Linked DNA regions of Saccharomyces cerevisiae S288C. Changing the gene in region 1 together with any one later gene gives a genetic interaction. Each region holds a gene or a part of one and is shown on either strand. Other genes may lie near its edges.

Region 1 (4,660 bases):
TACAGGGTTTCACCATACACGTATTTCATTGAAACTTTCGTAAGCTTACTTCTCCATGACAGAGAAGTAAACTGCTCGACAAGTGAAATGGTACCAAGCCAACCTGTAATGGGTCAAACCTGCGGTCAGTTTATGAAACCCTTTATTGATGAATTTGGTGGGAAACTGCACATCAATAACACATACACCGTCTGCGCCTACTGCATGTACACTGTTGGGGATGACTTCCTTGCTCAAGAAAATATGAGTTATCATCACAGATGGAGAAATTTTGGTTTTGAATGGGTTTTCGTTTGCTTTAACATTGCCGCCATGTTTGTGGGCTTCTACCTAACCTACATCAAAAAAATTTGGCCTTCTGTGATTGATGGTATAAAGAAGTGTATCCCATCAATGAGGCGGTCCAAAACATCTCATAATCCAAACGAACAAAGCGTATAATCAGTGAATAGCGTTCCGTTAGAAAACATTCAAAATTACCTAATACTATTCAACAGTTCTTGTTCCTCATCCGGCTGCCTTCTGCTTTAAACTAATTGTTAATTTATTCCCAAATCATATTCTAAATTAATCTATAATCATTTTTCGGATTATATATGCTCCATACTTAATAAATATTAATACTCTCATTTCCTTTTCACTTTTTTTTTTCTCAATTAGCATTCCAGGTTCGAGAAATATCATTGATATATCGTAATTCCTTTTCAGTAAACGTGATTAGACGACCTTCGTCAAGTTCAGAGTTTGTGTGTCCGTCACCCGTAGCATATGCACAATACATATAATTAGAACATTCCTTGATTTGCATCCATGGATGAACAGAAACGTCAGGAACGATTAGTCCCTCTACGTTCAACGAAGCATCATATATCCTTTTTAATTTTGAAATGTCCCCATATCTACTCTTAAAATACTCTGGCTCTCTTCCAAAGTCATCTTCAGCACTGTTCGAAATTTTACAAGTCTTCAGTCCACCGTTTACCCATAGTAATCGATTTTTGGAGTCACTGTGTGCAATCTGCGTAGAACAAATGTAGTACATCCCGCTTTTATGTCCGTCATCATTTTCAGGCTCTTCATTAACAGGTCCAATAATACTGCCATCAACGGGATTGATAGAATAATCCTGGCCAGCATATAATTGCCCCAACCAGAATATTTCCTTGTCACCATACACACACCTCTGCAATTTTCCATCCAAATTTAACATAAAAGACATCAACAATCCATTTAATTTCTCAAGTTTATTGACTACAACCAAACCACTATCAACATGATGGAGTCGTAATTTTTTGAAAAAATTGTAATACACAGATGCTTCTTCTGAGGTTTCGGAAGAAAACGGTAATGACGAATCAAAAACTAACCTACTTCCAATAAATCTGCGTTCTTGTGCAGAGGGTTCCACTTCATTTAACATTTCGATGCAGTATTGGAAAGTTTGCTCGTTTTCCATAACCCTATCCTTGAACAAAAGTATCCCGCTCTCCCTGTAAGAAGGAGAGTCGAAAAAGTAATCAGACCCTACAAACGGTACTACGTCTGCATCCAACAAAATGTATTCTTCAAATGTGTTGAACAAAGTGGCGACCCATTTATTCTGAAAAAAAGAAATGTATGTATTAGCAAAATTAGTGTCAAGCACTGTCGAGCAGTCTACTAAGTAGACCCTTTGTTCCGTTTCTTTAGCGGTCTCAGAAATTTTAGCAATAGACTCTGCTGATAGTTCATTTCCCGTGGATACTATTTGGAATGGTAATTCGTTTTTTGAAAATTCCATCACTTTCAACTGTTTCAAAAATAAAGGAACATCCTTTTCAGCAATAGTTAAAACAAAACCTCTTCCTTTGCTCAACCTATTCCAGTTGGACCAAAAGTTACCATTAAAGTTTGATGATTCCATATCAACCTCGGGTGCCGGAACTGCCTCTCCAGTTGTCATGTCTGTGATAATAGGCCACATTACAGTTTTGGATTCCTCGTTAATTTTCTTCAGAAATGGAAACATTCTGTTTTGCAAATCATGAGGATTTACGGTTGAATTTGCAAATATTGCAGTAGGATCTAATTGACCAGATAAAAAGCAATAATCATAAGATCTTAATCTTTCCCCTAACAATGAGGCCAACGTGTTATCTACACCATCAACATTATAAAATTTTGCAGTTTGCGCATTGTCCCAGTCGGGATCAATCTTGTATAGTACTTCAAAAATGTAACGGCACTTGTCACTCTTCGCTATTTCATTATTTCCTAATTGCCTCAACAATACACGTTCTTTGTGAGAACTTCTACTCAAAAAGGGCAAAAAGTAGGCAGATAATCTGTTCATTAAGTTTTCGGATCTCACTTGGTGTTGTCGTTTTTCAATCCAATTGAATGCAGATGATTCAACAGCTGTCCTCTCGCTTGCATGGTTGTTTAATTTATTGGATGATGTAACATTCCGACTGGCAGAGAAAATGAGATAAGAAAAGAATAAAGAGAGCAGCAGTGTTACTAATCGTTTTAAGATTAGTCTTCTGGATTTTAATGATTTAAGCATGCTTAGGGAAATAGTTTTAGTAGACTGTCTTTAATTCCTTAACACCCCTCCTCGTACTCATGTGATGGAGAAAGGAATTTGATCAGTTCCAGAGGCACAATTTAAGTACTAAGACAAACAATGATACCAAATTAAAGAGTAGATTATTGCCACTTTTTGCGTGTAAATCAGAATAATTCCTCTTCAAAATTTTTTTAGACGAGATCATTAAGGTAATTTGCATTGTCGATACTTCTTCATTCTTCCGTATTTGAAAAAGATTCTCTTTCAAAGAAAAAAAATTGCTTCCAATCGGATTTGAACCGATGATCTCCACATTACTAGTGTGGCGCCTTACCAACTTGGCCATAGAAGCTCGTATTTTACGGTAGATGAGATTATCGCATAAAGGATATCATTTAAAATGTGGTTGCAAACAGCTTCCAAACATTTACTCGACTGCTTCTTACAAGTAGCTATGCACAAATTATGTACTATTTTAATGAGACAACAGAGCTAAAGGCAGAAAGTAGAAAAAAGTTCAAAAATTGAAGTTTAAGGCCTGTTTTATTTAACAGTCTGTTTTTCTGAAAAGAAATGGACATTGACATGAACTATCCCAGTATAACTACTTTGATGAGTAATGAATCAGCAAACTTATTGATTATTTGGGGGAATGCCACGCCTGATATTAGCTATCTATCTTATACAACTAACCCAATGTTAGGTGACTATGTTTTAAATGTGTCCGCTATAAATGGCTGCACGGAGGAATTAATAGCAACTCATCTAGTGCCAACTTTGGAGAATGCAACCCAGTGGGTTTATGATGCGGGGGAGTACTGGGACAATTATTCCTTTACTGATGAAAGTACCCCTCTGCCAGGACTTTCCTGGCCATTTAATGAATAATTAGATAATTGTTGGAATTCCGTTGTTAGTAAAGGCTATATAATATTTGAGAAATGGGTGAATTTTGAGATAATTGTTGGGGGTTCCATTGTTGATAAATGCTTATAATATTATGTATACAGAATATACTGAAAGTTCTCCTCGAGGACATAGGAATCCTCAAAGTGGAATTTATATTTTTACATACTAATATTACGATTGTTCCTCATTCCGTTTTATATGTTTCGTTATCCTATTACATTATCAATTTTTGTATTTCAGCTTCCTCTAACCTCGATGACAGCTTCTCATAAGTTATGTCATCATCTTAACAACGTATATGATAATATATTGATAGTATAACTATTAGTTGATAGAAAATAGTGGATTTTTATTCCAACATTCCGACACAACAAAGTCTTTCTTCAACAAGGTCCTTATTTCAGATGACAGATTTTACTGTACATAAAATACAAAGGATAAGTGAAATGAAAAAATTGTTGTATTACGGGCTCGAGTAATACCGGGGTGTCTTGACAATCTTATTATTATTAACAGTCTTAGGGAAGTAACGAGCTGTCAAAACGGATTATCAGCTTAATTCACGGGATGTTACTTATCTTATATATTGTATAGAATATGAATCATACTAAATGGTGAAAGCGCGGAATCTTGGATCTAAACTAATTGTTCAGGCATTTATACGTTTGGTTAGTTCAGCTAGGGGAGGCCGGGTTTTATCTCATGTTGTTCGTTTTGTTATAAGGTTGTTTCATATGTGTTTTACGGACGTTTAGGATGACGTATTGTCATATTGACGTATCGCATTTTGAGATACAACAATATCACATCTAATATTCCGTGATAGTTTAATGGTCAGAATGGGCGCTTGTCGCGTGCCAGATCGGGGTTCAATTCCCCGTCGCGGAGATTTTTTTAGCATTTATTCAATGAATAATGTGCTACTTGTTCAAAATTGTGATGGCTGCATAATATTACTATTTTGTTTTATATATCCCAATGATATCAGTAAAACTCCCCTTGTTTTTTTATTATGCTTTCCATGTATTAAAAATGACTATATATTTGATATTTATATGCTATAAAGAAATTGTACTCCAGATTTCTTAATATGTTGGTTTACAGACATTTATTAAGACTGTAGAATACTTCGTGACAGTTTCTGTTATGACTGTCTTATGAGTAGGCCGATATTTAGTTTCATGTACAAACGTTTGGTTAAAC
Region 2 (3,074 bases), on another chromosome or scaffold:
GGAAAACCTGTGCTGAATACTGGATGGACACTGCATTCCCACAGTGAAGCTTTTATAGATACACTGCCAGTTATTTTCGAACTTTCATCAAGTTGCTGAGTTTTAGTATCCCTTTGCCTTAGCTATATGTTTGAATGAGCAAAATATTTGCAATGTCTCTAGCTTTCTTGAAATATTGGTTTATATTGAGGGCTTGGTAAGATTTCAAATTTCATTTTGAAGTGCTCAGGAGAAAAATCATGCTCTTTTGATAATTTGGTGACTAAACATACATAAAACAGTTTAATTTTGGGTGGTAATGGCTGTGTGACTAGCTATAGAAAGAAAAAAATTAAAAAAAAAAAAAAAAATCAAGTAGTTCCTGCACTGCGACGTCCATTATAGCATTATAAATTGGTCCCTGATTTACGCATGCGATAAACTATTTTTAGCGCAGCCGCATATTATCCGAGAATAACTTCCGACATAAGAAAATTCGCAGAAAATAGATAAAAAAACTGCTCTTGGCATTCTTCACTTCCTCTATTACACACTGTGTCATACCACAATCATCTCACAGTATGTATTTGTATGTTTATACATGCTATAACGTAAAACAATGTAGAATATATATCTAAATACCTCACGGTTTTAGTTTAGTGCAGCCCACATACTACTTTTTTCCTTTTGTTTTTTTTTTTTATATTTCAAAGGTTAAACTCGCTTAGACTATGTCTATAATATAAAAAAAAAATAGCTCTATTCCGTTTCTTTTATTCTATTTGATATTTCCATCACACTTTCATCTTAATCACGGATGTATACTGATAATAGGGTTGACTGCGCCTGTACGGATTACAGTGCCCTCTTCAATTGGAAAATCCAAGCTTTCAAGATGGGTAACTGTTATTCAAAGGATCCTCTAAGATAAAACACAGATCGACAGATCCGAGAGTTGGCTTCTGTGCCTTGGGCTCAAATTCCTTTCCCACCTCATGCAAATTGATTTTTCTGACTCCAAAAAAAGACAGAGCCCTGCGATAGTTCCCGAATGTTGTAACATCAAAGCCAAGCACTCCTTTATAGAAGTCGCATGAACGTTGAATACTAGCAGCTGGTGAAACTACAGGGTCTAAACTAACTAGTATCCATATCTTTTTGAGAGCATTGAAAGTATACGGAGTACAAGCTGGGTTAGAAGGAATTTTTATCTTAACAGCAATGAAAATCAACTTTCTAGACTGAATCCCTCAAGAAAATTGCAAAAGACTAACTGATACTGGTTTAAAAGAGAAAGATGTCAAATATGCGGAGTTATACCATCAAACAACTTTGGACGGCCCCGAAACAAATGTCCGCAAAAAAGATCTTATTAAAGTGCATGGACACTATCATTTCTATAATACAAAATACTCCACCGCACAATAGTTTGTCGGGAAGTCATCAATCAATCTTGTACGAGCTTTACAAATAACTTTTTAGGATCGGTCCCCTCATAAAATTATATATAAATGGGTTAGTTTCCTTCTTCTTCTGTTAACATGAAGTTGCTTCGTACTGTTTTTTGCCTTGCTTCTCTTCAAAAGAATCAATCATGTCACAGTACGGATTTGTAAGAGTTCCTAGAGAGGTAGAAAAGGCCATTCCAGTGGTGAATGCACCTAGACCACGGGCCGTTGTTCCGCCTCCAAACAGTGAAACTGCTAGGCTTGTTCGGGAATATGCCGCTAAAGAATTGACTGCCCCCGTTCTAAACCACTCTTTGCGTGTTTTTCAATATAGTGTAGCTATCATAAGAGACCAATTTCCAGCATGGGACTTGGATCAGGAAGTTTTGTACGTCACCTGCTTACTTCATGATATTGCAACAACAGATAAGAATATGAGAGCCACGAAGATGTCATTTGAGTATTATGGTGGCATACTTTCAAGGGAGCTTGTATTTAATGCGACAGGTGGAAATCAGGACTATGCAGATGCAGTAACTGAGGCCATCATTCGTCACCAGGATTTGACTGGGACTGGCTACATTACCACCTTGGGGCTCATTCTGCAGATTGCTACTACGCTTGACAATGTCGGATCCAATACCGATCTGATTCATATCGATACAGTTAGTGCCATTAACGAGCAATTTCCAAGACTGCACTGGTTATCATGTTTTGCTACGGTGGTGGACACTGAAAACTCGAGAAAACCGTGGGGCCACACCAGTTCTTTGGGTGATGATTTTTCAAAGAAAGTCATATGCAATACATTTGGGTATAACTAAATAGGTAAGTTTCAATGAGGCGAGTTCAGAATGAACAGTGATGATCTCCTTTCTCCATAACTATACTATACGTCCCTTTTATTTACTGTAGTTTTTAAGAACAAATTCTCTGATGAACCAGTCGTGAAACCGTATATCGTTTTCTGCCAATTCCGGATGAAATGATGTCGCAAGAATATTGTTTTTTTGCTTAGCGGCAACAATTAGTTCTTGACCACCATTATCCTTCCCATCTAATTTGTACAGGACCTGCACATGTTCAGGATCCAGCACCTCTTCTATTACTGGGGCTCTTATAAAAGTAGCAGGAAAATCATTGCAGTGAGGAATAAAGTTTGAAAAGTCGCAAATCCGGGTAGAAGACTGAGCTTGTCTCCCAAATGCATTTCTTTTTACTTTAACCTTTAGTAAATTCAGCGTCTTGACCAGTTTTGCTTCGTTAGATAATTGTTGTGAAATATAAATCAAACCTGCACAAGTACCCCAGGTTACCTTGCTTGGGTTGTGTACGAATGCGTAGAGATCGTCGTAAAATCCTGTTCTTTCTGCAATAAGGGACATTGCAGTCGACTCTCCCCCAGGTATGATCAATGCATCACATTGAGCTAGTTGATTTTTATCCTTCACTGTCATCACAGATAGTTTTTTTTCATAGAAATCCCTGTTTTCGACGATGCATTTTTCTACGTGTCGCACATGTTCAATGAACGCACCCTGTAATGCCAAGACTCCGATAACGACGGTCATTTTTGAGATATTACTCTTGTCTTGGCCCCAGCAACCAGGGTCATGGTAAGTGTGCTTGCTACTCAAACAGAAAAAA

Evidence for each region.
Region 2: mutations in MNT3 (region 1) and DDI3 together harm fitness more than expected from each alone (negative genetic interaction), as found in Saccharomyces cerevisiae (one large-scale study listed by BioGRID).

What each region holds. Positions count from the first base shown.
Region 1 is NC_001141.2:323,988-328,647, reverse strand, and holds MNT3 (alpha-1,3-mannosyltransferase MNT3), read right to left. Parts: upstream 2,546-4,660; coding exon 653-2,545; downstream 1-652. Other genes in the region: ATP-binding cassette multidrug transporter PDR11, read left to right, coding at 1-441; YIL014C-A (uncharacterized protein), read left to right, coding at 3,122-3,436; aspartyl protease BAR1, read right to left, coding at 4,543-4,660. UniProt on the Saccharomyces cerevisiae protein: Mannosyltransferase involved in adding the 4th and 5th mannose residues of O-linked glycans.
Region 2 is NC_001138.5:7,972-11,045, forward strand, and holds DDI3 (cyanamide hydratase), read left to right. Parts: upstream 1-1,573; coding exon 1,574-2,251; downstream 2,252-3,074. Other genes in the region: SNO3 (putative pyridoxal 5'-phosphate synthase), read right to left, coding at 2,330-2,998. UniProt on the Saccharomyces cerevisiae protein: Cyanamide hydratase involved in the detoxification and/or utilization of cyanamide, a toxic nitrile compound distributed widely in the environment.